2 linked regions of the Stegostoma tigrinum genome follow. The protein of the gene in region 2 purifies or fractionates together with the protein of the main gene of each other region. This does not show direct contact. Links are inferred from orthologs where the notes say so. Each region holds a gene or a part of one and is shown on either strand. Other genes may lie near its edges. The genes, in order: eno1a and park7.

Region 1 (16,316 bases), about 10 Mb from region 2:
TCTCCACCTATCTTCTCCTCTATCCATCCTTGGTCTGCTTCCCTCTCTCTCCCTATTTATTTCAGAACCGTCTCCCCATCCCCCTCTCTGATGAAGGGTCTAGGCCCGAAACATCAGCTTTTGTGCTCCTGAGATGCTGCTTGGCTGCTGTGTTCATCCAGCTTCACACTTTGTTATCTTACATATAGAATCAGAGCTGCATCAGCTGTTCAATATGGATCTTTTATTATTTATTCCTAGCAGACTCCCCATGTTGGTGCGTCTACATGGTACAGCCTAAAAGGAACGAAATGCACAATTCTATTTCAATACATTACGACATCCACCGAAGAGGCAGATGTGGCTTCAGTTTAAAGACTCATTTAAATGGCATCACCTTCAACACTGCTGCACTCCTTCAGTAATAGATCTGCATGCTCAAGTCCTGGAGTGGGCACTTGAGACTTGAACCTAATGACAAAGGCAAGTATGAAAGGTTTACAACTTAATAAACTGCTCTCAGCCCAATCCTCAAAGAAAATAAAGCAAGTGCCTTTCAGGATCATCCCTCATGCAACAAATTATTTGAAAACAGCACAAATGATCGCAGATTTGGACAAGAATCTCAGACATGTTTGCCTATCGGATAAATGCTGGCAATGTTTCAAACCACAGAAAACTTCTTTTATTTTTATTTTATTCCTTGTAAGTACACTGTTTTCCATGTTTAATGTTAATTTTGCTTCATGTTTGTAGTGATTTAATGACAGTGGAATAAAGAACCCCTCTTCATTATTTTTGGGTTCAAACAGGTGTGTCCCCATCCTCGCAATTTCTACACTTAAATAATACATCTGAAACTCACTGCACAAAATTGTATCATCTCATTTCCTGTTTACTCTGACAAATGTACCCAATGGTAGCAACATTCTCTCTGTAACTTTTTGATAAACTTGGCAGTGCTGAATATTAGAACTGTTTAAGTTTATTATGCAGGCATGACACATGGGTCAAAGATTGCCCCAAAAATGCGCATCTACTCCATCTGACAACAGGCTTTCATTTAATGCATGAAGTGGAATCACAGTGGGGGGAGGGGGGGTGGTGTCACCAAAAGACTTAAGATACCTGGATCAAATGGATTCACTCTGAGCTACATTTGCCAACACTTGCGTAACAGAACGTCTGGCAGCAGCTGGTGGTGGTGAGGGAGGACACTGAACAGGGCAGCTTGGGCAGCTGTGTCAGTGCCTCCAGTAACTGGTGGGAATGGTGAGGGAAGGCACCGAGATGGGCAGATGGGGCAGTCGAATGGGCCCTGAACAAAGGAAAGGCTGCTTTAGGTCAATAGTCCTGATGGGGAGAAGGATTAAACAGACAAAATATTATCTCATCCAGATGTAAACCAAATTCCCTTTAAGTACAATGCTTTCTAAGTTTAATGTTAATTTTGTTTGTAATGATTTAATGACAGTGGAAGAAAGAACCAGGGCTTCATAATCTTTGGGCCATTCGTGTGTTCAAATCTTGAGTTGCATTAAAAATTTTAACTAGGTCCTACACCTGGTGCATATCCCCTGGCTAAGACCCTCTGTGACACAATGTCAACACTCTGAGCTGCAGCACTTGTATTATATTTTAATCATCAAATACATCAGCATTTTCCTATAGGCACCAGGACACACTTCAGCATTCCTTTATGAAACAGCTGCTTTCAATCCCTGAACAATCCCCTTAAATAAAGTAGCCTGTAGTCATCGCATTGGAGTCAGAATGCTCAGGAAAAATTCCTTCAACTGATTTGTTCCACTATGGTCAGCAACAGTACCGATTGAATTTCCCCTTGATGTAAGGTCAACTACATAATATTTAACACAGGAAGATGCATGAGTGTCGAATAACAGCAAGGAATAGCTGGTTAGAAACTGAAGCTTTATATGGAGCATCTAGCTCTTGGAAACTGGGTTCCTCATTGGCTGTGGGAGGATTTGAATTCTGCATCCTCTTAATACAGTGTTTGAGGGATATTAAACAAGCTATTGGTGCAAGAAGGTCAGACCGTAAACTCATAGCATCGTAGAGTCACAGAGTCATGCGGCACAAAAACAGACCCCTTGGTTCAACTCATTCACACTGACCAAATTTCCAAAATGAAACAAGTCCCACTTGACTGCAATTGGCCTATATCCCTCCAAACCTTTCCTACTCACGTACCTGTCCAAAAGTCTTTTAAATGTTGTAACTGTACCTGCCTCTACCACTTCCTCTGACTGTTCATTCCGCATACAATCTACCCTCTGTGTGAAGAAGTTGTCCCTCAGGTCCCTTTTCAATCTTTCTCCTCTCACCTTGAATATATGCCGTATAGTTTTGAACTCACCACCTGCTATTCACCTTATCTGCGGCCCTCATGATTTTGTAAACCCCTATAACATCACCTCCCAACCTCCGGTGGTCCAGTGAGAAAAGTCCCAGCTGTTCAGCCTCTCTTTATAACTCATGCCCTCCAGTTCCAGCATCTTTCTGTCAAATATTTTCTGAACCCTTTTCAACTTAATAATACCCTCCTTACAGCAGGGCAACTAGAACTGTACACAGTACTCCAAAATGCCTCACCGAAGTCCTGTATTACCTCAGCATTATGTTTCAACTCCAATGCTCAATGGTCTGAGAAATGAAAGCAAGTTTGCTAAATGCATCTTAACCAACTCAACTAAAGTCCATGTAGACAACGTCTGCTGCTCCGTCGTCACCAGTCTTTTTTGTTATGTCCTCAAAAAACTCAATCAAGTTTGTGACAAATGAATTCCCACACACAAAGCCATCACTTTCAAAATCATTGCGGCAAAACAGAACATGCAATTGAAAAACTAGAAAGGGGTATCCTTTCAAATCAACATCAATATTAGACTGTGACAACAGCTGAATACAGGAGAAAAGGAAACAACAGACTCACATCTACAAAGCACCCTTCACAACAGCAGGTTGCCCAAGGCATTTTACAGTCAATTGAATATCTCTTTAAGTGTAGTGAATGGTTTGAAAGTAGGGAACAGGAAGGAATGAGAAAATTGGCCAAGGCATTTCTGAAGAAGGATCTAGGCCTGAAAGGTCAGCCCTCCTGCTCCTCTGAAGCTGTTTGGCCTGCTGTGTTCATCCAGCTCTACACCTTGGAGTCTCATGTAAAGGATGTGATTTTTCTCAAATTGTCTTGGCCAGATCCTGTTACAAACATTGGATGGAACACTGTGGATTGGTGTCCTCTGGTTGTCTTCAAAATAGTGCATGGGATCTTTTACATCAAGCAAGGAGGATGGGCTGGGCTCCACTTTAACGTCTGATCTGACAGATGATGCCTCTGATCATTGCAGAACTGAGTGTTGAGTGAAGTAGCCACTTGACCTCAGGACCTTCTGCCCAGAGGAGAGGTAGGGGGAGATATTAGTGAGTGAGCTGATTCTCTAAAGTTTTCCAGATGTTAACCACCTTATAAGAAGATAAGAGACAGGCAGCGGAGTTGGTTGTGTCTCCAAAGTCTGCTTTCATATCTCAGCTTTACTTTCCAGGCCTCTCTTGATCAAATGGCCCATTGGGCCGAGGACAGGCAGATGAAGTTTAATTTAGATAAATGCAGTGTGCTGCGTTTCGGAAAGGCAAATCAGGGCAGGACTTATACACTTAATGGTAAGGTATTGGGGAGTGCTGATGAACAAAGAGGCCTTGGAGTACAGGTTCATAGTCACTTGAAAGTGGAGTCACACGTAGTCTAGTGAAGGCGGCATTTGGTATGCTTGCCTTTATTGGTCAGTGCAATGAGTATAGGAGTTGGGAGATCATAGTGTGGCTGTATGGGACATTGGTTAGGCAACTTTTAGAATACTGTGTGCTAATGTTATCTCCCCGCTATGGGAAGCATGTTATGAAATTTGAAGAGGTTCAGAAAAGATTTTCAAGGATGTTGCCAGGGTTGGAGGGTTTGAGCTATCAAGAGAGCTGAATAGGCTGGGGCTATTTTCCCTGGCATGTCGGAGGTTGAGGGGTGACCATGTAGAGGTTCATGAAATCATGAGGGGCATGGATAGGATAAATAGACATGGTCTTTTCCGAGGGTGGGGAAATCCTTAGCTAGACGGCATAGTTCAAGGTAAGAGGGGCAAGATTTAAAAGGGACCTAAGGGGCAACGTTTTCACACAAAGGGTGGTGTGTGTACAGAATGAGCTGCCAAAGCTGGTGGTGGAGGCTGGTACAATTACAACATATAAAAGGCATCTGGATGGATATATGAATAGGAAGCGTTAGAGGGATATGGGCCAAATGCTGGTAATGGGACTAGATTAATTTAGGATATCTGGTTGGCATGGAATAGTTGGACCGAAGGGTCTGTTTTTGTGCTGCTACATCTCTTTGTCTCTATGACACTGCCTGATTCTTGCTTACCTGCAGGATCAAATGTCTGTCTATCTCACCTGTTATTGCAAAGTACACTAGATATTTCTAATCGACCTGTGCAGAGAACCTTTGGAGCAGGTAAGACTTAACCCAGGTCCCTGGTTTATCCTTCTTTGTAAGATGTTTCCAAGAAAGACAAGATCACTGAGAAAATGTTTCAATAACCTCATTCTTTCAAAGTACTGACATAATTACAGATTGAGGGGCGTCTGTTATCCAACATGACCACCACAGTTTGGAAACAGATTTAGATTTTATTGTCACATGCACTCGAGTACAGGAATACAGGAGTACAGCGAAAAGAGCACAAAGTCCATCAGAAATCTTTTGTGCATGCTTGAAAATATTCTGGACAACTGCACAATAAACATTATTCAAAGTCAGTGGTGAAATGTGCTTTTTGAGAAGGACTGTACAAATAAAAGTCTTTCTTTTGAGTTATATGGTACATGAGGGGTAAGAAAACCAATTCAAACGGTGTTAATGGAGATACCAGGGTCAATTGGCATTAACCGCAGACCACCATGAAGAGAGTCCAACTTCAATTTTCTCTAATAATTTGGATTTGTCCTTTCACACATCTTCGGGATGCAATGTTTGAATTGACTGGCTGATTAACTAGTTCCAAATCAAGAATAGCTACTGCAAATAACTAGGTTAGATATAAAAATGCATGAGAATGATTTGTCAATTTATATTTCACATGGATTAATAAGTAGCCAAACAGCATCCTTCATTTACATTGGTAATGTTCACATCCAGCCACAACCTAGTGATTTCTTAGGGTTATTCTCTAGGGTATTACTCGGTAGATTCTGAGGGATGGTTTCAACATTCAACATTTCTTTTAACATTGAACCAAATGAATTTTTCAGTTCAGAGAAGGGTCTCTAGGATGATCCCTGGAATGGAGGGATTGTCTTCTCAGCAAAGGCTAAACAGGTACAGATTGGAACTTAGAAGAATGACAGGTTAGTCTAATTGAGACATACAGGATTCTTAAAAGGCTTGACAGGGTAAATACTGTGAGGATGTTTCCCCTCATGGGAGAGGCTAGGCAGCAGAGGGCATAGATTCAGAATACAGAACACAAATTTAATACTGAGATGAAGAAGAATTTCGTCTCCCAGAAGGTTGTGAATCATTGGAACTCCTTGCCCTGTGGGGGCAGAGTCCTTGTGTACATTTAAGGTTGAGATAAATTCTTGATCAGTTGGGAAATCAAGGGTTATAGGGAAATGGGAGGAAAGTGGACATGAGGAATGTTGGGTCAGCCATTATGCTGTTGGATGGCCTACTTCAGTTCCTATTTCTCGTGGTCTACAACTCATTGCATCACTAAAGAATCCACATTTTCAATAGTTGACAAATGTTTACTTAAATGATTTCATGAAAGGCTTCATAATTATTATTGGCTAAAATGTCATTTGCAAATTGTGCAGTAATTAAAAACATGATTTTATTTTAACTAACAGAACTGCTCCTAAGTTGCAGTGAATGAGTGAAAAACTGAGTGAATCTTGAACATTTGACAATACGGTTTCTATCACGGTACTTTGCAATTCCTTTTCTCAATATTTTATTGTAATGTTATTTTAGAAATGGTCCCCCAGTTGAAGATTTAAAATTCTTAATCAATTTTGAGAGGTGCTTGAAATTGCAACAGTGAGAATGAACAGATACAAAAGCTTAAAAGATACAAAAGCTTAAGCACACATGCCAACAGATTCTAGAACAGCTTCTTTCCCACTGTTATTAGACTCCTGAACAGCCCTCTCAAATTTTGAATTTAGTGTTGATCTTGCTCCCTGTGCACCTTCCCTGAAGCCATAACATTGTAGTTGTCACTGTTCTATTACTCTAATGCTCTTTGTATTATAATCTGTCTCTACTGCAAGCAAAACAAAACTTTTCACTATACCTACACACATGTGACAATAATAAATCAAATCAAATTAAGAAAGACTGTTGAAAGTGACACAGAGAAAAGACTATGTCAGTATTCTGGTTTGTTGATCTGAAATGTAAAGCTACATGGATCTTGTTTCGAGGGCAAAATGGAAGGCTGCAGGAGGGGTCGACCTGGGCAGAGTTGGATGATGGATGTCACAGAGAGTTCTGATGGATGTGTGAGGATGGCACATGATGCACAAACATGACAGATCGCCTGCAGAGGTGGAAAGTTGTGCATTCGCCACTCAATAACACTAATCCCAAAGCAATTCCCAGAGAGGGACAAAGAAAGAGGAATCACGTCAGTTTAGGAGAGTGGGAGAGTTGGGGGAGGAGATGTGGGATGAGGGAGAAGGTGGACCAAAAACTCGGTTGAGAAGATATTTACCTCATTGAGGAAGGTTTTAGAAGCAGTTACTGAGAGCCAAGACAGTTGAAACTTTGGTCATGAGATGGAGCAAATAGATATAATGAGAAGACCGGAATGCTCAGGAGAGGATCTAGGTCTGGAGGGGATTGAAATGATAGGGGATGTGGGAAATAGACAAGGATTTTAGAAATAATACATTGGGAAGGAAAACATTGGGAAGGAAGCAGGATCCAATGCAGAAAAGAGCAGTGAACATATGGCACAAGAACGGAAACTGTTGCAAAAACTGAGCAGATTTGACAGCATTTTTGGGAAGAGAGCAGAGCTAAGGTTTGGAGTCGGGTGATTCTTCACCAGTTTCTCCAGCAATTTCCGTTTCTCTCGTTTCAGATCTCTAGCATTTGCAGTTCTTTTATTTCATTTTAAATGGACAAATAGCATTCAGTGTAGCGCAGAATGCATGCGGTAAAGGTTTGCACACATTAAATTGTGGATTATTGGGAGTCAGTTAAGAGGCCATGGAGACAAACAAGGTGACAGAGGGATATTTAGCTCTTCAAGTTTTGCAGAAGTTAAAAATAGACAATGTTAAGAAACTGGCATAACAATCTCTAATTTTGTTGTATAATTGTTACTGACATAAAAATAGGATTGTATAACAAGAGTAACAGTCAGGACATGGCCATTCTGTACAGATGAGCAGGTTTCTACGCTCCGAGTGAGAAACATTGGAACAGCTACATGTCAAGTGGACTGAGCTGTCGCAATACGGGTTAGAAGATCTTAGAAGTTATCTTTAGTGGGCGTGAAAGTTCTTGGACGGTTTGCTACAGTTGCAGGGACCTCTGGCACTGTCAAACTGTAGAACTGGGGTGAATCAAAACAAAATGACCTCAACTTGTACCACAGGAAACTCGAATTGACGAAAAATCCAAAGTGCTCGCTCTTAAATCTAGATTTAGCCCTTAAATACAAGAAGAAATAAAACTGACTAGTCCCGAACATTTTAGGGAGAACACTACGAAACTACAAACACATCAACAGCAGTTCTTATTTCCTTAACACTGCATACACATAAATCCATAATTCCAACACTACACTGGCGACCGAACACAGATCTCCCGAATGCAGGAACACTAGCAGATAACTAGGATTTCCCTATTTTTAGTCTCAAGCCATTAATGGGATTCTTCTCATATTTTCTGCACGTTAACCTTCTTGTTTGGGCCTATAAAACAGTCTTAGTTACTGACTCACAAACAAGGTAAATCCTGTACATTTCTAATTGCAGGTCAGTTACCCGCAGCGTTGTCGATCCCAAAGCAAATCCGACAGGAAAACACTGCCCGACTCAGTTCTGCAAACAGGCCAATATTACACACCCCATCGACACCAATGCTTGCAAATATATACACTTTTAAAAGCTGTTAAAATACTTCGTTCAACAGTTTTGAGAAGTTCATTCAAACTAAGTAAGGGAACGCCCTCTTTGCCACGGACTTTCTTGAACGAGCAGCAACTCTGTCAAACGAGCCAGTACAGGCGGGATGGGCAGAACGATCTCCCTTCCGTGCTCCGGCTGTGCTTACGCTCCTCCTGGACCTGGGGGAGGTTCTCACTTGCAAAGAAAAACAAAGAGGCCAAGCCGAAATTAAGGTGCAGACTTGTAACTGCTTGCTTGGCTAATCCCCCCCCGCCCCAGAGGAGGGGAGCGGCGCGTACCTGTTGCCCACAGAGAGGAGGCGGTGGGAGAGAGAAAGGGCCAGAAGCAGCAGAGACGGGCAGAGCAGCTGAGGACGCGACAAGGACACGAGCCCCGGCCGCAACAAAGAGACCGACCGAGTCCCAGCCGCCGCTCTTATTGGCTCGTTCCAGCACCGTAACAATGAGTAACCCTGGAAACAGTGACATCTGCCACTGTCTGACCTCACCCTGTGCGACGACACTGGGCTGGCATTGATTCCATTGGGCACTGAGAGCTTAACAAACACAGGGGGGTCACACTTACCCTCACATTGCACTGGGCACTGAGAGATCAACAAACACAGGGGGGGTCACATTTACCCTCACATTGCACTGGGCACTGAGAGATCAACAAACACAGGGGGGTCACACTTACCCTCACATTGCACTGGGCACTGAGAGATCAACAAACACAGGGGGGTCACACTTACCCTCACATTGCACTGGGCACTGAGAGATCAACAAACACAGGGGGGTCACATTTACCCTCACATTGCACTGGGCACTGAGAGATCAACAAACACAGGGGGGGTCACACTTACCCTCACATTGCACTGGGCACTGAGAGATCAACAAACACAGGGGGGGGTCACATTTACCCTCACATTGCACTGGGCACTGAGAGATCAACAAACACAGGGGGGTCACACTTACCCTCACATTGCACTGGGCACTGAGAGATCAACAAACACAGGGGGGTCACATTTACCCTCACATTGCACTGGGCACTGAGAGATCAACAAACATGGGGGGGGGGGTCACATTTGCCCTCTCATTGCACTGGGCACTGAGAGATCAACAAACACAGGGGGGTCACATTTACCCTCACATTGCACTGGGCACTGAGAGATCAACAAACACAGGGGGGGGTCACATTTACCCTCACATTGCACTGGGCACTGAGAGATCAACAAACACAGGGGGGTCACATTTACCCTCACATTGCACTGGGCACTGAGAGATCAACAAACACAGGGGGGTCACACTTACCCTCACATTGCACTGGGCACTGAGAGATCAACAAACACAGGGGGGTCACACTTACCCTCACATTGCACTGGGCACTGAGAGATCAACAAACACAGGGGGGTCACACTTACCCTCACATTGCACTGGGCACTGAGAGATCAACAAACATGGGGGGGTTCACACTTACCCTCACATTGCACTGGGCACTGAGAGATCAACAAACATGGGGGGGTCACACTTACCCTCACATTGCACTGGGCACTGAGAGATCAACAAACACAGGGGGGTCACATTTACCCTCACATTGCACTGGGCACTGAGAGATCAACAAACACAGGGGGATCACATTTACCCTCACATTGCACTGGGCACTGAGAGATCAACAAACACAGGGGGGTCACATTTACCCTCACATTGCACTGGGCACTGAGAGATCAACAAACACGGGGGGGTCACATTTACCCTCACATTGCACTGGGCACTGAGAGATCAACAAACACAGGGGGGTCACACTTACTCTCACATTGCACTGGGCACTGAGAGATCAACAAACACAGGGGGGTCACATTTACCCTCACATTGCACTGGGCACTGAGAGATCAACAAACACAGGGGGGTCACATTTACCCTCACATTGCACTGGGCACTGAGAGATCAACAAACACAGGGGGGTCACATTTACCCTCACATTGCACTGGGCACTGAGAGATCAACAAACACAGGGGGGTCACATTTACCTTTACATTGCACTGGGCATTGAGAGATCAACAAACACAGAGGGGTCACATTTACCCTCACATTGCACTGGGCACTGAGAGATCAACAAACACAGGGGGGTCACACTTACCCTCACATTGCACTGGGCACTGAGAGATCAACAAACACAGGGGGGGTCACACTTACCCTCACATTGCACTGGGCACTGAGAGCTTAACAAACACAGGGGGGTCACACTTACCCTCACATTGCACTGGGCACTGAGAGATCAACAAACACAGGGCGGGTCACACTTACCCTCACATTGCACTGGGCACTGAGAGATCAACAAACATGGAGGGGGGGTCACATTGCCCTCTCATTGCACTGGGCACTGAGAGATCAACAAACACAGGGGGGTCATACTTACCCTCACAGTGCACTGGGCACTGAGAGATCAACAAACACGGTTGGGGGGTCACATTTACCCTCACATTGCACTGGGCACTGAGAGATCAACAAACACGGTGGGGGGGGTTCACACTTACCCTCACATTGCACTGGGCACTGAGAGATCAACAAACACAGGAGGGCCACACTTACCCTCACATTGCACTGGGCACTGAGAGATCAACAAACATGGGGGGGTCACACTTACCCTCACATTGCACTGGGCACTGAGAGATCAACAAACATTGGGGGGTCACATTTACCCTCTCATTGCACTGGGCACTGAGAGATCAACAAAGACGGGGGGGGGGTCACATTTACCCTCACATTGCACTGGGCACTGAGAGATCAACAAACATGGGGGGGGGGGTCACATTTGCCCTCTCATTGCACTGGGCACTGAGAGATCAACAAACACAGGGGGGTCACACTTACCCTCACATTGCACCGGGCACTGAGAGATCAACAAACACAGGGGGGTCACACTTACCCTCACATTGCACTGGGCACTGAGAGATCAACAAACACAGGGGGGGTCACATTTACCCTCACATTGCACTGGGCACTGAGAGATCAACAAACACGGTTGGGGGGTCACATTTACCCTCACATTGCACTGGGCACTGAGAGATCAACAAAGACGGGGGGGGGGGGTCACATTTACCCTCACATTGCACTGGGCACTGAGAGATCAACAAACATGGGGGGGGTCACATTTACCCTCACATTGCACTGGGCACTGAGAGATCAACAAACACAGGGGGGTCACACTTACCCTCACATTGCACTGGGCACTGAGAGATCAACAAACACAGGGGGGTAACACTTACCCTCACATTGCACTGGGCACTGAGAGCTTAACAAACACAGGGGGGTCACACTTACCCTCACATTGCACTGGGCACTGAGAGATCAACAAACACAGGGGGGTCACATTTACCCTCACATTGCACTGGGCACTGAGAGATCAACAAACACAGGGGGGTCACACTTACCCTCACACTGCACTGGGCACTGAGAGATCAACAAACACAGGGGGGTCACATTTACCCTCACATTGCACTGGGCACTGAGAGATCAACAAACACAGGGGGGTCACATTTACCTTCACATTGCACTGGGCATTGAGAGATCAACAAACACAGAGGGGTCACATTTACCCTCACATTGCACTGGGCACTGAGAGATCAACAAACAGAGGGGGGTCACACTTACCCTCACATTGCACTGGGCACTGAGAGATCATCAAACACAGGGGGGTCACACTTACCCTCACATTTCACTGGGCACTGAGAGATCAACAAACACAGGGGGGGTCACACTTACCCTCACATTGCACTGGGCACTGAGAGCTTAACAAACACAGGGGGGTCACACTTACCCTCACATTGCACTGGGCACTGAGAGATCAACAAACACAGGGGGGGTCACACTTACCCTCACATTGCACTGGGCACTGAGAGATCAACAAACATGGGGGGGGGTCACATTGCCCTCTCATTGCACTGGGCACTGAGAGATCAACAAACACAGGGGGGTCATACTTACCCTCACATTGCACTGGGCACTGAGAGATCAACAAACACAGGGGGGTCACATTTACCCTCACATTGCACTGGGCACTGAGAGATCAACAAACACGGTTGGGGGGTCACATTTACCCTCACATTGCACTGGGCACTGAGAGCTTAACAAACACGGTGGGGGGGGTTCACACTTACCCTCACATTGCACTGGGCACTGAGAGATCAACAAACACAGGAGGGCCACACTTACCCTCACATTGCACTGGGCACTGAGAGATCAACAAACATGGGGGGGTCACACTTACCCTTACATTGCACTGGGCACTGAGAGATCAACAAACATGGGGGGGTCACATTTACCCTCTCATTGCACTGGGCACTGAGAGATCAACAAAGACGGGGGGGGGGGGGGGTCACAATTACCCTCACATTGCACTGGGCACTGAGAGATCAACAAACACAGGGGGGTCACACTTACCCTCACATTGCACTGGGCACTGAGAGATCAACAAACACAGGGGGATCACATTTACCCTCACATTGCACTGGGCACTGAGAGATCAACAAACACAGGGGGGTCACATTTACCCTCACATTGCACTGGGCACTGAGAGATCAACAAACACAGGGGGGTCACATTTACCCTCACCTTGCACTGGGCACTGAGAGATCAACAAACACAGGGGGGTCACATTTACCCTCACATTGCACTGGGCACTGAGAGATCAACAAACACAGGGGTGTCACATTTACCCTCTCATTGCACTGGGCACTGAGAGATCAACAAAGACGGGGGGGGGTCACATTTACCCTCACATTGCACTGGGCACTGAGAGATCAACAAACATGGGGGGGGGGTCACATTTGCCCTCTCATTGCACTGGGCACTGAGAGATCAACAAACACAGGGGGGTCACACTTACCCTCACATTGCACTGGGCACTGAGAGATCAACAAACACAGGGGGGTCACACTTACCCTCACATTGCACTGGGCACTGAGAGATCAACAAACACGGTTGGGGGGTCACATTTACCCTCACATTGCACTGGGCACTGAGAGATCAACAAACACAGGAGGGCCACACTTACCCTCACATTGCACTGGGCACTGAGAGATCAACAAACACGGTTGGGGGGTCACATTTACCCTCACATTGCACTGGGCACTGAGAGATCAACAAAGACGGTGGGGGGGCGTCACATTTACCCTCACATTGCACTGGGCACTGAGAGATCAACAAACACAGGAGGGCCACACTTACCCTCACATTGCACTGGGCACTGAGAGATCAACAAACATGGGGGGGTCACATTTACCCTCTCATTGCACTGGGCACTGAGAGATCAACAAACATGGGTGGGTCACATTTACCCTCTCATTGCACTGGGCACTGAGAGATCAACAAAGACGGGGGGGGGTCACATTTACCCTCACATTGCACTGGGCACTGAGAGATCATCAAACATGGGGGGGGGGGTCACATTTACCCTCACATTGCACTGGGCACTGAGAGATCATCAAACATGGGGGGGGGGTCACATTTGCCCTCTCATTGCACTGGGCACTGAGAGATCAACAAACACAGGGGGGTCACATTTACCCTCACATTGCACTGGGCACTGAGAGATCAACAAACATGGTTGGGGGGTCACACTTACCCTCACATTGCACTGGGCACTGAGAGATTAACAAACATGGGGGGGGGGTCACATTTGCCCTCTCATTGCACTGGGCACTGAAAGATCAACAAACACAGCGGGGTCACACTTACCCTCTCATTGCACTGGGCACTGAGAGCTCAACAAACTTGGAGGGGCTCACACTTACCCTCTCACTGCAGTGTACCCTCCAGTGTTTATCAGCTGAAGGACCCAAACATATGGTTTAATTCTACTGTGAATTCCAGTGTTCAGCAGCAGGAATCAGACTTATCTTTTAATTCCATGACGTTCTCCAGTGCTCAGCTACAGGAATCAAACTTATTCTTTACAGTTTAATTCCACTGTGTACTGCAGTGATCAGCATTTGCATGAACCATGATTACTCTTTATCTACATTGGGCGCTGGATGCTCAGCAGAAGCTTGAACTTATTTCCAGTGTGTTCCGCAGTGTGCAGCAAATTCACGACTCAAATGAATCTGTCCATTCCACTGTGACGGCCAGTGTTCAAGAGAGACAGTAATCAAACTTACCCTTTCTTTTATTTCTATTTTGTTTCGTTATAAGTAGGAATTTCTCATTGGTGTTCCTTTACACAAACGTGACCGGTATTTTTGATTTATTCACTCTAATGGATAAAAATCCTGATCTAATTGGCCGATTGTAAAAAAAAATTCAGTGCCAATCTTATACTCTATCACATAACAAAAGTCAGATCTCAAAATTGATAACTAAAGTTACTTGTACTTTGTATCTCAGCAGCTGAAAACATTTACCGCTGGTAGGCAGTTTGGGTTTGAAAGCAACCAGCGTTCCTTCAGTGTTGCTGCGTCTAAATCCTAGAGTTTCTTTCTTAATAGTATTGTGGGTTTACATACATCAAATGGGCTGTGGTAGTTCAAAAAGGCAGCAGCAGCACCACCTTCTCAATGGCAACTAGGGATGGTCAACAAATGCTGGCTCAGCCAAGGATGCTCGCATCTAATGAATCCACAAAAAAAATCGATTCCTCGCTTGCCAAACAACCTTCAATGTTACAGCAAGCTGGGTGTCGTCTTTTCTGTTGGTGTAAACATCTGCATTGGTACCAGCTTGGATCTCATATCTCTCAGGCAGAAATTTGTGCCAGTTCAACCGCACCCTGCCCCCACAACTTTGAGAGTGTAGTGGAGTTCTAATGATGAGCTTCACCGTGTTTTTGGAGGTATCATCTCTTGACTGAGACATGAAACAGATACAATTGAGGAAAATCTGAAAGAAAGAAATTCCTGGTGCTAGTCAGGAAAGAGTTTGACTTGTGCAGAGCTCTGTTCAGACAAATCAGTGTTTTATATTCAGATACATACAAACATACAAAATAGGAGCAGAAATAAACCTTTCAGCCCCTCCAGACTGCTTTAGAATTTAGAATTTTAAATTAGGCTTCTTGTCATGTCTCCTCCAGTTACAAAAGTACAGGAGAACGGTGAAAACTGTCCAATGTTTCCAACACATGGCACATCTTAGGAACAAAGTACCTAGGTACAAATCTTAGGTACAAAAAAAATAGAGAAAATAAATTTAAAAAGTTTTCCTTTTACATTCCTGCCAACAGGATATAGAACAGGATATAATAGAACAAATTCTCCTATAACTCCTCCCACTTCCTACAGATTAAGGGGGTGGCCATGGGCACCCGCATGGGCCTGCATCTTCATAGGGTATATGGAACAGTCCCTTTTCCGCTGTTACAATGGCACTATTCCCCACCTCTTCCTCTGCTTGAACAGTTCGTCAACTTCACTAATACCTTTCATCCCAACCTCATGTTCACCTCGACCATCTCTGATACCCCCCTCTCCTTTCTGGATCTCCATCCCCATCTCCATCTCCATCTCTGGTGACCACCTCGAAACTGACATTTATTTCAAGCCCACCGACTCCCATAGCTACCAGGACTACACCTCCTCTCACCCACTGTCCTGCAAGAATGCAATCCCCTACTCCCAATTCCTCCACCTCTGCCCTGAAGATGGGGCATTCCACTCCCGCGCATCCCAAATGTCATACTATTTCAAGGACCATAACATACCCCAACCAGTGATCGAAAATGCTCTCAACTGCATCTCTTGCATTTCCCACACCTCAGCCCTCAAACCCCATTTCTCCCAACAAAAATACAGACAAAATCCCCCTTCTTCTCACATATCACCACACCAACCTCTGCATCTAATGTATCATTCTCCGCCATTTCTGCCACCTGCAATCCGACCCCACCACCAAAGATATATTTCCCTCCCCAGTCCCATCTGCCTTTGAAGGGACCACTCTCTCCACAACTTCCTCGTCCACTCCACACTCCCCACTAACCCCACCAACCTGGCACCATTTCTCTGCAACCTGCCGGAAGTACTATACCTGCCCCTTCACGTCCTCATCTCCTCACTCACCTCCATTCAAGGCCCAAAACAAACTTCTTACAACCGACAGGAGTTCACCTGCACATCTGTGAACTTATCATCTGTAAACCGCTGCTCT
Region 2 (16,433 bases):
TGGGTTACCTCATCATGTGCTAAATCTCATACACTTATTCTAAAGTGATTATCTAAGGGTTCAGAGGAAGGGTCGCCGGACCTGAAACATTAACTTGGATTTTCTCTTCACAGATGTTGCCAAACCTGCTGAGCTTTTCCAGCAATTTCTGTTTTTGTTCCTGATTTATAGCGTCCGCAGTTCTTTTGATTTTTATCTAAGCGTTTCATTTAGAGATATGAATGAAGTGGAGATAGCACTGACTGACTAGTGCTTATCGTGTTGCAAATGGTGGTGGATGATTTAGAAAAAAACTAATGGAGGAGGCAAATCATTGATTAGCCCCTCTACAATTATGGCAGAGTCCAGCAGTGAGTGAAAGTCAACCGTATTCAGCCGGAAGTATCAAATGAATGATCCATCCAAGCATCTGCCATATGTTCCCAGCATCACAATTACTGCAGCAGTGTCTGTTCAGTAAGAGCCTGCACACGGATGTTTAAGTTCTGCTAGGGCCATTCAGTTCCTGACTTCATTACAGCGCTGGCTCAAACATTCACAACAGAGCTGAACTTGTGTGTGTGTGTGTGTGTGTGTGTGTGTGTGGCAGGGCAGTGGAAGTGACAGCCCTTGATATCAGGCAAGTGAATGGAGACATACCTGGTATGCAGGAAAATGGTTGCGGTTGTTGGAGATCAGATTTCTCAGCTTCAGGCCATCTTTGCAAGAGTTCTTCAGCGTAGTATCCTAGGCTCAATCTTTTCCTAAGAAGGGTCCCGAAAGGTTAACTTTCCTGCTCCTCTGATGCTGCCTTGCCTGCTGCATTCCTCCAACTCCAGCATCTGCAGTTTTTACTCTCAAAAATCTTCAAATGCTTTATCAAGAACCTTCTCTCCTTCATAAAAGGTCAGAAGCGGGGATGTTTGTCAATAATTGCATTATGTTCCACACCATTCACAACTCCTCAGGTGCTGAAGCACTCCATGTCCAAATGCAAAAGAAAACTGGACAATATTCAGGCTTGGGGTGATAGATGGCTAGTAACATATATGCCACACAAATGCCAGGCAATGACCATTTCCAAGAAGAGACAATCTAACCACCACTGCTTGACATTTAACAGCATTACCATCCCTGCATACCCCACCATCAGCTTCCTATGGATTATCACTAAATTGCACTAGCCCTATGAAGACAGTGGCTACAAATACTGTAGCAAGTAATTCACCTCCCAAAGCCTGTGCAATATTTAGAACACACAAGTCATGAATGTGATGGAATACTCCACACATGCCTGGATGGTGTGCAGCTCCAACAATACCAAAGAAGCTTGACATCACCCAGGACAAAGCAGCTTCTTGAATAATACTACATCCAAAAACAGTTGGCCCCTCTGTCACCAACACTCAGCAGTACGTACTTACAAAATGCAATGCAGAAATTCACCAAAGCTCCTTCTGGCCTTCTAAACCCATGACCAGAAGGGAAAAGACATTAGATACACAGGAACACTACCATCTGCAAGGTCCCCTCCAAGCCACTCCATTTTGACTCAAGAAATATAATTGCCATCATCCACTGTCGCTGGACCGAATTCTGGAAGTCCCTCTTGAAAAGCACTGTGGGTCTACCTAAGCATATGGACTGCAGTGATGCAAAAAGGCAGTTCACCAGCAACCAGAGACAGGCAATAAACGTGACCCAGCTGGCAATGCTCATGTCCCACAAGCGAGTTAAAAATAAAAATGTCAGCAAATTCAATAAACGTTGCGTGCACTGGATAAAGCTAAAGCAGTGAGCTCTGATAACATCCCAGCTACTGTGATGAAGACTCGTACTCCAGGAGATGGCTGCGTCTCTGGCCTGTTCTAGTACACATACAACACTGACATCTACCTGACAAAAGTAGAAAATTGCTCATGTTATGTCGTGTCCACAAAAAGTACGACAAATCCAGTTTAGCCAATCGTCTCCCCATTGGATAGATAACAGCAGATCCAACAATACAAGGAGCTTAACAGCACCCTAAACAAAGCAGCCTGTTTGATCGCCATTCCATTTTTTCTTCAGACATTCACTCCTTCCACCACTAGCACATAATAGCAACAGTCGACATCAACTACAAGCCACACCATAGCAACTTGTCAAGATTCTTCCAAATCAGAGAAGAACAAGAGCAGCATGCATTTATCAACCTCACCACCTTCGAGTTCTCCTTCAAGTCACCCATATTTCGACCTGGAAATACATCTCTCTCTCAAGGTCACAATCTCCAGTTTCCCTACCAATGAAAACTATGGATGAATACATACAAGGACTGGAGTAGTTCACTACTCAGTGTCTTGAGGACATTTAAAAGTAGGGCAATAAATATGGGCCTTGCCAACATAGTCAGTGATTAATTTGTTTTTAAACTGTGATATTGCCAGGCTGCTCAAAAATAAACAGCTCAAAATAGCTCAGCATTATAACCAATAGGTCAGAGAGGACCTCAGCTTAACACAACTGTAGTCCATGATCAGGCACCTTGATGTACACTAAATCTGCATCAAGCCTGCAAGTGTACAACAAACTTTAATCTGGAAGAAAGCCAATGCCAATTACAAAATGCTGCAGAATTAGAGTATGAACTTAAAGTTCATTTGACACAGTTTAATTAAGCAATATTCAAAATAAAAGGAACTACCCTATTTGCCTTTACTTGTCACTGAAGCAGAAACAATGTACCTGTTTAGCTGCATCTTGTAAGCTGGAGTCAGGGCAAATAACCACATCACGACTGCACGTTATAGGTTCTTTACATGTCAGCCCTGCCACCGTTACTGTTATCTGAAATATAAAAAAGAACAACATTGATTATCACCGCCTGTTGAAAGGTCATTGCGGAGGTTCACCACGGCCCAGCAGTAAGGCACCATGAATGCTCAGCTACTCAGGAGTGCCAATGGAATGCTGGTGAAGCAAAAGAAAACATGTAAGAATGTTATTCAGCATCCACTTCAAATGTGAGAAAACAGAGTACAATTCAAGAACAGGTCGTTCCAGGCCCAAAAAGATCCACGCAGTATTGAGCGATCATAAGCAATGACAAACCTCATCACTAGCATTAGCAGTAGGACCAATGCAAGGAGAAAATTAAGGCAATTAAATAGCACTAGCTTCAGTATACTATATTCTTATCTTGTGTAAGAATAACAGAAGGTTAAAATAACTTGAGACATAGGCCATGTTCTTGTCTTATAGAGTCATACAGCACGGAAACAACCAATACATGCTGAACGTAATCCCAAACTAAACTAATCCCACCTACCTGTTCCTGGCCCATATCCCTCCAAACCTGTACTTGTCCAAATGTCTTTTAAACATTGTAATTTTACCCACATTCACCACTTTCTCTGGCAGTTCATTCCACACGTGAATCACCCTCCGAGTAAGAAATTTGCTTCATGTCTTTTTTAAATCTTCTCCTCTCACCTTAAAGATGTGCCCCCAGTCTTGAAATCCCCCAACCTAAGAAAAAAACAATGATCATTAACTCTACCTAAATCTCTTATTATTTTATAAACTTATTTTAGTCACCTTGCAACCTCCTACACTCCTGTGAAAAAGTCCCTGCCTATCCAGCCTCTCTTTATAACTCAAACTTTCTATACCTGGAAACGTCCTGGTAAATCTCTTCTGAACCCTCTCCAGCTTGATCATATTCCTCCTATAAGTGGGCAACCAGAACTGGACACAGTAGGCAGACATAACGGACTTTCCATGTGATATTAGTTGGAATTACAGCAAGGAGCATGAAAGACATGTTAGTAAGACAGTCCTGTGACAGCTGTCTTTCTAATGTACAGCAATAGCAAACTTAAAATAGCATCAAATCACACCTCCTACCTCAGCAGTGGACAATGTAGGGAGATAATGGAATAGAAAGAGGTGGAAAAGCTATAAACAATATTCAAATTCAATAGTAGATTACAATTAAAACCAGATTTTAAAAATTCACTCTCTTGAAGTCTACCAACAGGAGGTTACATAATCGCAAACTTCACCCACACAATCCCAGATTGTTCACCTTTTAGTGATTTAGTCTGACAATTTGGTTAACGTTTAACTTGTGGATACATAATAACCAGAGTAAATCTCTGTAAAAGAGACTTAAGATACAAAAATTAAAATACATTTAAAAACCTTCATACAATTTGTTAAACATGTTTAGTAAGTTTTTTCAAAACAAGAATTTGAATCTTTGCTCTCCACTCCATTGCAATTTCAAATTGTCTTGTTTTAAAACCCTGCTCACCTCCTCTGGCTTTTATTTTCCCTTCTTTAAGTTTTTATTTTCCTTCTTGTATTTGATCAGGTTTCAAATCCCACAAAATCTGTATTTTTTCCCCCAGTCCTGATTAAAAGGCATTGATTTGAAGTGTTAATGGTTCTTTTCTATCCCTCTCCGCAGATGCAGCCTAACATGAGCATTTCCACTATTTTGTTTATTACAATTTCAGCTTTGCTTAATTAGTAGCCAGCTAGCACTATATAGTCGAATACTTGAAGTTCAACAAGTATGGCTGCCGCAGCATGTAATCTATTCACCACTCCAGTGCAATGAGTAATCATTGTATTGGTGATGTTGCTTTCAAATGAATCGTCACGGATCAGGAATCCTGTTCAAAGTTCTACCCTCAACCACCTTGAATATCAGGTTGACCAGAAAGTCATTCCTTTGGCATTTGGTGAACTTGCTAAACACAAGACTTTCCCCATAGTGTACTTTTCGGTCATTGTAGCCATAATACTTGTAACCACCAAGACAGTTTAGATGCAAAATGGAGACATGAATGCAAGACATGTTTTCGCTAAAGTGACATTTTAATAGCAGAATCAGTGGCTTTTTTTAAAATACAAAGTCACCCATAGGATTCATTCACTGATTTATTAATGTCCAACAGGGAACAAAATCCACTAGCCTTAACTATTCAAGTTTACATAGGACTCCAGATTCAATGAAAGTTTGGCTGACTCTTAACGTTCCTCTAAAATTGCATAGCAATCCAGTCAATTGTATGAAACCACCACAGCAGTAACAGAGGAGAATAAATTGAACACAACACCAGGCATCAAAAGCACCAACTACCCAGGCAACATTTCAAAATCCTCATTCCCAATATCCAAGAGTTTGTGCCAAAATTGGGACAGCTGCCCCAAGGACTTATCCAGCAACAGCCTGACAGTCATACTCATCAAATCCTTACCTTACTGCCAATGTCCGAGACACCGACATCACCACTTTTAGGCATGTCCTGTCCCACTGACAGGCCAGACTCAGAAGCAGCAGCACAGTGCTACACTGGAGGAAGTGTCCCTGGGAGTTCTCAATATGGTCTGTGCGCCCCATGAGATCTCAGCATCAGTTCAAACCAGAGGAGAGAAACTGCTTTATGATTACTACCTGCAGTTCTGTTGGTCACCAACTGGATTAAGACAGAGTGTATGCTTGGTGGAAGACTTTCCATAATTAGGTGGCTCAGTAACTTTACTACTAAGTGAGATCTCAAAGACATGGCTTCCAGCAGGCGAAGAGAAACAGGATGGAAAAAAAATGATTCACCCTCACCAATCTACTTGGTGTTTGGTCCATGACACAGTATTACAAAGTCATTGTGCAGAATCAGTCCCCACTTCGTACTGGAGATACCCAGCAGAGTAACATCTAGGCCCGAAACGTCAGCTTTTGTGCTCCTAAGATGCTGCTTGGCCTGCTGTGTTCATCCAGCTTCACACTTTGTTATCTTGGATTCTCCAGCATCTGCAGTTCCCATTATTTCTGATACCCAGCAGAGTTTTGTCTTCCTATTCATGCTAAATGAGCTAGAATTAGAACAGATCTAGCAGCTTAAAACTGGGAATCAATGAGGCAGAGTGAGCTAATCAGAAAAATTGTAGTAAACCACAAAACATAACCAAACATATTCTTCATCAAGCAGGAACAGCTTCAGAAGTATTTAAAATTGAAGTGCCAATCTGTTGCAACTATATAGGACTATTTGCATGCTCAACTCCAAAGTCAGCATACTGGTGAGGAAAGAAATCCCACAGATAAATAAAAAGGTCAAAATTCTGTATCCTAAAATGGTGAAGAGACAAGTAAATACCTAACTAAAGAAGGCACCTGCATAAAACACGCCACCTCCAGTGACAGGGGAGGGTAGGGCATCAAAGCAAAAGTCAAAGCTCACACACACATTCTGAGGAAGGGTCACTGGACCCAAAATGCTAACCGTTTTTCCCTTAACAAATGCTGCCAGACCTGCTGAGCTTTTCCAGTAACTTTATTTTTGTTCCTGATTCACAGCATCCGCAGTTCTTTCAGTTTTCAAAAGTCAAAGCTGATGATTTTACATCATCTTCAGCCAGCAGAACAGAATGGATAGTCCATTCCCAACATGAGGCACCTTCATCACAGATGTCACTTCTCACAGAATTCCTTTCATTCCATTTCATATCAGGAAATAGTTGAAGGCACAGGATACATTAAAAAGGCCCTGACAACAGCATCTCTGACAATAGGAAACTGCCAAGCTTTTCTGTTCACAAAAACAAGGCAAGACCAATCTAGTCAATGACTGAACCAGTCTATTCTCAATCAAAGTGATGCAAGTTCTCATCAACAATGTTACCAATCAACATTCAGCAACAGCTTGATCACTTATGTTCAACTCAGGCTCCAAGGGCACTTAGCTCCAGGACCCTTTACAATCTTGTTTCAAACATGGGCAATTTCATATACATACTTGCCAAGGCTAATGGAATCCTGGTTTTTATACCAACAAGACTACAACTCAAGGGAGTACAATGCATGCTTCAGGCATACAGAAAGCCAATTAGACCAAAATTGGACTTCTGGCAGCATTAGGGAAGATACATTAGGATTGGACAGAATGTAGTGCTTATAATTTACATGAATTATACTTGTTCCCTCATATTTTAAACTGCAAAGACAGATGAAATAACTGAGAATTGTACTCCTTGATATTCAGATATTACCCGATACCTTAATAAGTTTGAATCAACAGGAAAAGATGGATTAGATACAAAGTGGCGTGTCTAGGTCTTACGGACTACTCAAGAAAGTTGAGTGCGTTTCTTCTGGAGTGAAATTAGGGAACGTCTGCATGTAAAGAGTAGCATAAATTTGGAAACTTCTTCCAGAAGAAACAACAAGTGCTAAGTTAACAAATGATTTCAAAACAAAGATTTTGTTAACAAACAGCACGAAGTAGTAACATATAGATACCTATATCATCCAACGACAAGTTGCAAGGCTACTGGTGAAGTACAGGAAATGCAAATATGTGCTTGACGAGAAGCACGAATAAAGTAGGCTGGCGACCTCTTTCCATGCTGCAGAATTCTAACTATGAATCCTTGATTGAGAAAGTGACTGATCAGACTTTACCAACCAAATGACCTATTCTTATGCTCCAATGAATTTCCAACTGCAAAGCTAGAATTTGAACCATGAATTATTGGGCTTCTGGATTCCTAGGTCTGAAACATAACTGCTGAACTATTTCCAGCTGCAGCACAACTCCACAAATGCATTTGGTTATTTAAAGACTAACTGAGGCAGTAACGAGAGAAAGATCAATATGTCCCCCACCTCTGAAATTTACTAAGAGGTTAATCCAGGTCAAACAGTTGCAATCCCATTGACTGCACAGCCAGGCGGGACCAGGGCTGCTCTACACTGATTGGATATTTTGCCTGCCAATCACGGCTGACGACCAAACGCACAAAAACTACGCCATTTCCCACTTTAAACTGAAATAGATTTATTATCAAACCACAAATGTGCCTGCTCACCCCAGCCCGACGCATTAGGTCTGTAGGAATCACCGTTTCCATCTCCTCGGCCCCTTTAGCCAAAATCAACAGCGCACGCTTGGCCGCCATCTTGGAACAAGTGCCGGCTCGTTCGCTTGCGCGTTGCATCATACGGGTCGGGCTACGACTCCCGAGTAGGCCCCTAACACACCGCGCCACAAATTCAAAATTTTGAGAAGATTTGTAGCTCAGGTTGAGGTTCTGGATGTGAGATTGCTCGCTGAAAACGAACCTTCCAGCTCAGCGAACAATCTCACATCCACAAATTCAAAATAGCCGCACTGCAGTACTGACAGCGTCAAAAGTAGAAACAGAAACTTCTAGAATCGTTCAGCAAGTCTGGCATCATCAGTGCTGATGCAACGGAGAGAAGCAAATTTAACATTTCAAGTCAGTCAATGACCCTCCATTAGAATTGATGTATTGTGCTGCGACAATACGTCAATTTCTCCCTCTAGAGATATAGGCTGATCAGCTGATATTTCCAGTATTTACTTCAAATTTCCAAATTTGCAATATTGTATATCACTGCTTCAAGATATTTTGTACCCAGTCATAAAATCACTGTAATAGCAGGTTCTGACTCCAACGCCCTAACCCCGAATTGCCTAATTAGCACAATCCAAACCCCAAAGTCTCCATAGAAACCTTCACAATCCTAAACCTAACCACTTGTCCCTAATTCCAACAATTAACTCCATCCGAGTATAGTGGCGCATGAGAGTGCTGCAATATTAGCAGCTTATTTATGGTACCAATAGTCAAGCTACAAATATTCACTCCGTTTTTGGGACAAAATAGTTACAGAAGGCTGAATTTCAACCTATTCTAAGTCTATCCATTTACACCAAATTAAAATCATGCTTTGAGATTTTCCACTTGTGGGGAAGAAGCCTAATATAAAGGAGCAACCCAATGAACACAAAAAGGAATTGAGAATAACTTGGTTACCCAGAGCTAATAATGCAGAACATTACCACTGGGAATGATTATGATGAACGATATAGATATATATAAGAGGGAGCCAGATAAGAGCATGACGGAGAAAGGATCAGAAAGTTTTGGATGATGGAGAATGGGAGGAGGTCCACATAGATAAACACTGGCCTGAATTGTTTGGACCAGGTGTCCCTGTGGATATATTACATCTTCCAAGTAATGCTTGCAACTCTGTAACGGCCATATCATTTTAGAATAATCTTTAGCGATTCTTATATCTTTCAAATTAACCAACACAGCAATGTTTACAATATTCATCCCAATGTAGAATAACCTCCTAGGGTAGCATTGTATCAGGTTTTTGGACTTATACTTTTTTGGACTAGCTATACCTGCACCTTTACGATCAGTGTTTCTGTGCGTGACAGAACTTTTTCCAAATACATCATGTCAGAATCTTGTCCCATCATCAAATTATCATCTTTCTACGTTGACCTAGGTGGAAGTGATTGAGTTTGCGATGTAGAATTTGTAAGTAGCCCAGTAAGGGTATTATAACTATTTTCTTGTAAATAGAGTCATTGGAAGGCATTAACTTAGTGGTATTATTGCTAGACTATTAATCCAGAGGGGGTGAAAAGAATTGTGAATGCTGTGAATCAGAAACAAAAACAGAAGTTGCTGGAAAAGCTCAGCAGGTATGGCAGCATCTGTGGAGAGAAATCAGAGTTAACATTTTGGGTCTGAGGACCCTTCCTCAGAACTAATCCAGAGACCCAGATAATATTCTAGGGACCAGGGTTTGAATCCTGCTACAGCAGATAGTGGAATTTGAATTCATTTTTTAAAATTCTGGAATTAAGAATCTACTTATGACCCTTGAAATCATTGTCGATTGTCAGAAAAACCCATCTGGTTCATTAAAGTCTGAAAATCTGCCATTCTCACCTGCTCTGGCCTACATGTGACTCCAGAGCCGCAGCAATGTGATTGACTTGAAATTTCCCTCCAAAATGGCCTAGCAAGCCATTCAGTTGGACCAGTCATTGCAAAGTATCAAAGACATGAAACTGGATAGATCAACTGGCATCGTCCTAGGCACCAGAAAAGACAGAAACAGCACTGTCAAGCTTGCAAAGTCCTCCTCAGTAACATCTGGGGGCCTAGTGCCAAAATTGGGAGAGCTGTCTCACAGACTAGTCAAACAACAGCTTGACGTGGTCATACTCACGGAATCATACCTTACAGACAATGTCCCAGACATCGACATCACCATCCCTGGACATGCCCTGTCCCAACAGCAGGACAGGCCCAGCAGCGGTAGCAACCATGATGGTATGCAGTTGGAAGAGAGTTGATCTGGGAGTCCTCAATATTGACTCTGGAGCCATGGAGTTAAAATGTGCAAGGTGACCTCCAGGTGATTACCACATACTACTCTCTTTCAGCTGATGAATCAGTACTCCCCATGTTGAGCAATACTTGGAGGAAGCACTGAGGACGGCAAGGGCACAGCATATATTCTAGGTGGGGGATTTCAATATCTATGGTTCAGCAGCAGTACCACTGATAAAGCTGGTCAGATCCCAAGGGACATAGCTGCCAGACTGGGTCTGCAGCAGATGGTGAGGTAACCAACAGGAGGGAAAAACATACTTGACCTCATCCTTAACAATCTGCCAGCAGCAGATGCATCTGTTCATGATTGTATTCATAACAGCAACCACCATCATCCTTGTGGAGATGAAATCTGGCCTTCACATTAAGAATAACTTTGATCGTGTTGTTTGACACTATCACTATGCTGAATGGGACAGACTTTGAACAGATCTAGCAACTCAAGGCTAGCCATTAAGGAGGCATTGGGGGCCATCAACAGCAGCAGAACTGTACTCTAGGACAACCTGTAAACTCATGCCCCAGCAAATCCCCTACCCAACAATTACCATCAAGCCAGGGGATCAACCCTGGATCAATGGAGAGTGCTGGAGGGCATGACAAGAATTGCACCAGGCATACCTAAAAATGAGGTGACAGCCTGGCGAAGCGACCAGACAGGACTACTTTCATGACAAGCAACATAAGCAGAGCCAGACAGATAGACAGAGCTAAGCGATCCCACAGCCAAAGGATCAGCTTTATGATCTGCAGTCCTGCTACATTCAGTCGTAAATGGTGGTGGACAATTAAACAACTCACCAGTGGAGGAGGCTCCACAAACGTTGGTTTCCTCAATGATGGAAGAGCCCAGCACATCAGTGCAAAAGATAAGGTTGAAGCTTTCACAGCAATCTTCAGCCAGAAGTCCCAAGTGGATTATCCATCTTGGCCTCCTTCAGTGGTTCCAGCATCACGATACAAGTCTTCAGCCAACTCAATTCATTCTATGTTAAATCAAGAAACAGTCAAAGACACTGGATACTACAAAGACTACAGGCTTGGCAACATTCCGGCAATAGTACTGAAGACTTGTGCTCCAGAACTTGCTATTCCCCTAGCCAAGCTGTTCCAGTACAGTTACAAGCATATAAAGGTACAGGTACAGGCATCTACCTGACAATTTGAAAATTGCCCAAGTACATTCTGTACATAAAAAGCAGGACAAATTCAAAAGGCCAATCACTGCCCCATCAGTCTACTGTTGATCATGAGTAAAGTGATGGAAGATGTCTATCAAGTACTATTTAGCAGCATCTGCTCAGCAATAACCTGCTCAATTGTGCCCAGTTTGGGTTCCGCCAGGACCACTTGGCTCCTGACCTCATTACAGTCTTGGTTCAAACATGGACAAAAGAGGTGAATTACAGAGGTGAGGTGAAAGCGACAGCCCTTGACATCAAGGCTGCATTCAATCAAGTGACATCAAGGATCCCTGGAAAAATTGGAATCAATGGGAATTCAGGGGCAAATTCTGTTGGTTAGAGTCATACCTGACACATAGGAAGATGATTGTGGTTGTTGGAGGTCAGTTGTCTCAGCTCTGGGACATCTCTACAGGAGTTCCTCAGCGTAGTGTCCTATGCCCCGCCATCTTCAGCTGCTTCATCAATGACTTTCCCCCCATCATAAGGTCAGAAGTGGAGACGTTCACAGATGATCACACAATGTTCAGCACCATTTGTGACTCCTCAGATACTGAAGTAGTTCATGTCCAAATGCAACAAAATCTTTATAAATATCCAGACTTGAGCTGAAAAGTGGCAAGTAACAAATGCCAGGTTATGGCATTCACCATTAAGTGACAAACTAACCACCACCCCTTGACATTCAATGATATTACCATCACTGAATCAAGCACCGTCAACACCCTGGGTTTATCATTGACCAAAAACTCAACTAAATTCACCAATAAATGCAGCAGCTACAAGAGCAGGTCAGAGTCTAGGAACACTGTGGTGAGTAACACATCTCCTGACTTCCCAAATTCTAACCACCATCCACAAGGCCCAAGTCAGGAATGTGATGGAATACTCTCTATTTGCTTGGATGAGTGAAGCCCCAACAACACTCAAGAAGCTTGACACAATATAGGACAAAACAGCCCGCTTGTTTGGCACTACACCCACAAGCATTCACTCCCATCATCATTGACACTCAGTAGCAGCACTGTGTACTATTTCCAATATGCACTGCAGAAATTCACCAAAGATCCTCAGACAGCACCTTTCAAACCCACGACCACTTCCATCTAGAAGGACAAGGGCACTACATACACAGGAACACCACTGCCTTCAATTTCTCCTTTAAGCCTTCCTCCATCCTGACTTGGAAATATATTGCCAATCCTTCACTATCTTTGGGTCGAAATCCTAGAATTCCCTCCCAAATGACATTGTGAGTCAACCCACAGCAAGATGACTGCAGTAGTTCAAGAAGGCAGTTCATAACCACCTAAGGGTAACTAGGGATGGATAATAAATGCTAGCCAGTTAGGGATGCCACATCTCAAAAATGAATAATTTTTTTAAAAAAAGAATTAGACAGCAATGAAACAGACCCTTTGGTCCAACTTGTAAATGCCAACCAGATATATTAAACTGGTCTTGTCCCATTTGCCAGCATTTGGCTCATTTCCCTCTAAACTCTACCTATTCATGTACCCATTCAAATATCTCAGCAAGGGACCCAGCAATCTCTTCCCCAACTTCCTGTTTAGTTCTGGGTATATCTGATTACGTCCCAGGGATTTATCCATCTTTATGCATTTTTAGATGTCAAGCACCTCCTCCTCCGTAATATGGGCTCTTAAAAATATCACTATTTATTTCCTTAAGTTCTCTAGCTTCCATATTTCTTCTCCACAGTTACTACTGATGCAAACTACTCATTTAGTATCTCACCCACCTCCTATGGTTCCATACACAGATAGCCTTGTTAAGCTTTAAGAGGCCCTGTTCTCTCCCTACTTACATTTTGTATTTGTAGAATCCCTTTGGATTCTTCTTAACCCTATTTGCCAAAGATACCTCACGTCCTGTTTTTGCCCTCTTGATTTGCCTCTTATGTATACTCCCGCTGCTCAAATACTCTTTTACCGTTGATCCCAGCCATCTATACCCAATATATACCCCATTGAAGAGAGCATCAATTCATCCAGCATTCCCTACACCTGCCAGTCATGCCCTTCACACTAACAGGACCACTCTCTCTGGGCTCTCATTACCACACCTTTAAAGGCCTCCTACTTTCCAACCATCCCTTTTCCTGCAAGTAACCTCTCCCAATCAACTTTTGAAAGTTCTTGGCCTTAATCCAATGTAGAATGTTAACTTTTAAATCAGTCTAACGTTTTCCATAGATGACAGGAACTGCAGATGCTGGAGAATCCAAGATAACAAAGTGTGAAGCTGGATGAACACAGCAGGCCAAGCAGCATCTCAGGAGCACAGGTGCTGCTTGGCCTGCTGTGTTCATCCAGCTTAACACTTTGTTAACTTTTTCCATAACTATTTTAAAACTAATAAAATTAGGATCAGTGGCCCCAAAGTGCTCTCCCACACACATCTCAGTCACTTGCCTTGTCTTATTTCCCAAAAGAAGGTCAAGTTTTGCCCCTTCTCTGGTAAGTAAATCCACATGCCAATTAAGAAAATTTTCTTGTACATACTTAAATTCCTTTCCATCCAAGCCCTTAACACCATGGCAGTTCTAGTGTTATGTTTGGAATGTTAAAATCTCCTACCATTGCAACCATATTATTCTCTAAAGGCTCTCTGATGAAGGGTCTAGGCCCAAAACGTCAGCTTTTGTGCTCCTGAGATGTTGCTTGGCCTGCTGTGTTCATCCAGCTTCACATCTTGTTATCTCTTATTCTTACAGATATCTCAGATTCCTTACAAATTTGCTACTCAATATCCTGCTGACTATTGGGGGGCCTATAGTACAATCCCAATAAAGTGATAATCCCTTTCTTATTTCTCAGTTCTATCTATATAATTTTTTGCCATGTTCCTAATTATGCCCTGAGTTCATCTGACTCATCAGTGCCTCTTGCACTGAAATAAATGCAGATTAATTTATCAGTTTTACCTCATTCACTACCTTGCTCTTGCCTGCCTTGACTATTTAACTTGCTTGTATTCTGTACTGTGGTAGCCTCAGACATTTCTTTCTCATTATCTCTTTAGGACCAGCCCCCTTATTTGTTTAAATCCTTCTGAGTATCACAAGCAAATCTCCCCATCAGGATATTGCTCCGCTTCCAATTCAGTACAACCCGTTCTTCTTGTCAAGTCATTTCTGCCCCAGGAGAAACTCCAATGATCCAAAAATGTGAATCCCTGCTTCCTGCACCAGCTCCTAAACTATGCATGCATCTACTCTATCCTCCTACTTCTTCTCTCACTAGCACATGGCCCCAGGAGTAATCCAGATATTACTACTTGCGAGGACCTACTTTTTAACCTCCTGTTAATTTCCTATATTCTGTTTACATAACCTTGTCCCTTTCTCTTCCTATGTCATTGGTACCAAAAAGTGTACAATGATGTACTACTTGTTGCTGTCCACTTTGAGAAAAATCTGCATTCTCCCCAAGACATCCTTGACCTGGGGAGCAACATACCATTCTGACGTCTTGCAGTCAGCTGCAGAAATGTTTGTGCCCCTGTCACAATCAATCACCTGATGTACCCCTCGTCACAGTAGAGGCCCTCTGAATCCCAGAAGCCTGGCTGTCAGTGCTATATTGTCCTGAAAGGCCATTATGCCCTTATCCAAAACAGCAAACATGTTTGAGATGGCGATAGCTACAGGACACTCCTGCACTACCCCTCCTACATTTCCTAAGAGTAATCCATCTACCCAATTGTATTTGAAATATTTTTAACCTCCCTGAAACTGCCATCCATCACCATCCCTGACTCCTGTAAATCCCTCATTGCCTCTAACTGCCAATCCATACAATCCAATAGGATTTGCATCTAAACACACTTCCTGCAGACATAATCTCCAGGAACATTGAAATTCTCCCTAATCTCCCACATCCAACAGGAAGAGTGCATCACTCTACTAAAAGCCATCACTGCACCTTAAACAATCTAGACCCAAAGTATACGCAAAAAAAGAGTTCTGAAGAAGGGTCATTGGACCCGAAACGTTAACTCTAATTTTTTCTTCACAGATGCTGCCAGACTTGCTGAGATTTTTCAGCAACTTCTGTTTTTGTTCCTGATTTACAGCATCTGAGGTCCTTAAGTTTTTAGTCACAATTAATTCCCTTTTTCTTAAACTGCATTTCCTATTAATTCCACGTCACACACATGTGTGTATCCATTGTCTCTTAAACATCTCCACAATGAACAGACTCTTGCCAATGTGCTTCAACTCAAGTTTGTATCCAATTGTTGACATGCTGTGCACCCAGTGGAGTACTTCATTCATTGGCTCTCCATCATAGGGAGGCCCGTTTGCAGCAGTGCACCATGTTGGCCACAGAGTGGCACCAGATGTCAAACATAAAACCAAAACCAAGTTAATGTTTCGTGTCGAGTGATCCCTTCCTCAGAAGAATACAACACAGGGCTAAAAACTATTGTCACTATGATAATGAATACTCATTGCCTCTGTTAAAACTAAAGACCAAGGAACGTTGTACAAGCGTGTTCACTGTATGTACAGTGTCAATGTAACAGTTATTTCTGGTGTCAACAATGGCTCAGTGGTTAGCATTGGTGCTTCACAGTGCTGGAATCATGGGTTTTATTCCAACCTCAGGCGACTGTCTGTGTGGAGTTTGCACATTCTCCTGTGTCTGTGGGTTTTCCTCCAGGTGCTCTGGTTTCCTCCCACAGTCCAAAGATGTGCAGGCTAGGTGGATTGGCATGTTAACTTGTCCATAGTGTTCAGGGATATGTAGATTAGGTGGGTTATAGGGGGACTGGGTCTGGGTGGAATGCTGTGAAGGTCAGTGTGGACTTGTTGGGCCAAAGGATCTGTTTCCACACTGTAGGGATTCTATGATCTAAAAGCATTCCATTATACTCCTAATGTGCCTTGTCAATAGTGGATGTTCTTTGAGGAGTCAGGAGGTGAGCCATCCATTACTGAATATCCAGCTTTAAATTTGTTATTATAGCCACAGGATTAAGAGTTTTCTTCAGCTTCTGATCAACAGTAGCCTACAGGGTTTTGAT

Evidence for each region.
Region 1: the proteins of park7 (region 2) and eno1a fractionate together in Homo sapiens (co-fractionation; 3 studies listed by BioGRID). This does not show direct contact. The link is inferred for Stegostoma tigrinum from reciprocal best matches to the Homo sapiens genes PARK7 and ENO1.

What each region holds. Positions count from the first base shown.
Region 1 is NC_081381.1:15,891,251-15,907,566, reverse strand, and holds the start of eno1a (enolase 1a, (alpha)), read right to left. Parts: upstream 8,607-16,316; 5' UTR 8,475-8,606; intron 8,371-8,474; exon of another isoform or gene 8,253-8,370; intron 8,241-8,252; exon of another isoform or gene 8,053-8,240; intron 451-8,052; exon of another isoform or gene 377-450; intron 1-376. UniProt on the Homo sapiens protein: Glycolytic enzyme the catalyzes the conversion of 2-phosphoglycerate to phosphoenolpyruvate. In addition to glycolysis, involved in various processes such as growth control, hypoxia tolerance and allergic responses.
Region 2 is NC_081381.1:26,093,156-26,109,588, forward strand, and holds the start of park7 (Parkinson disease protein 7 homolog), read right to left. Parts: upstream 8,016-16,433; 5' UTR 7,972-8,015; coding exon 7,840-7,971; intron 2,809-7,839; coding exon 2,707-2,808; intron 1-2,706. UniProt on the Homo sapiens protein: Multifunctional protein with controversial molecular function which plays an important role in cell protection against oxidative stress and cell death acting as oxidative stress sensor and redox-sensitive chaperone and protease.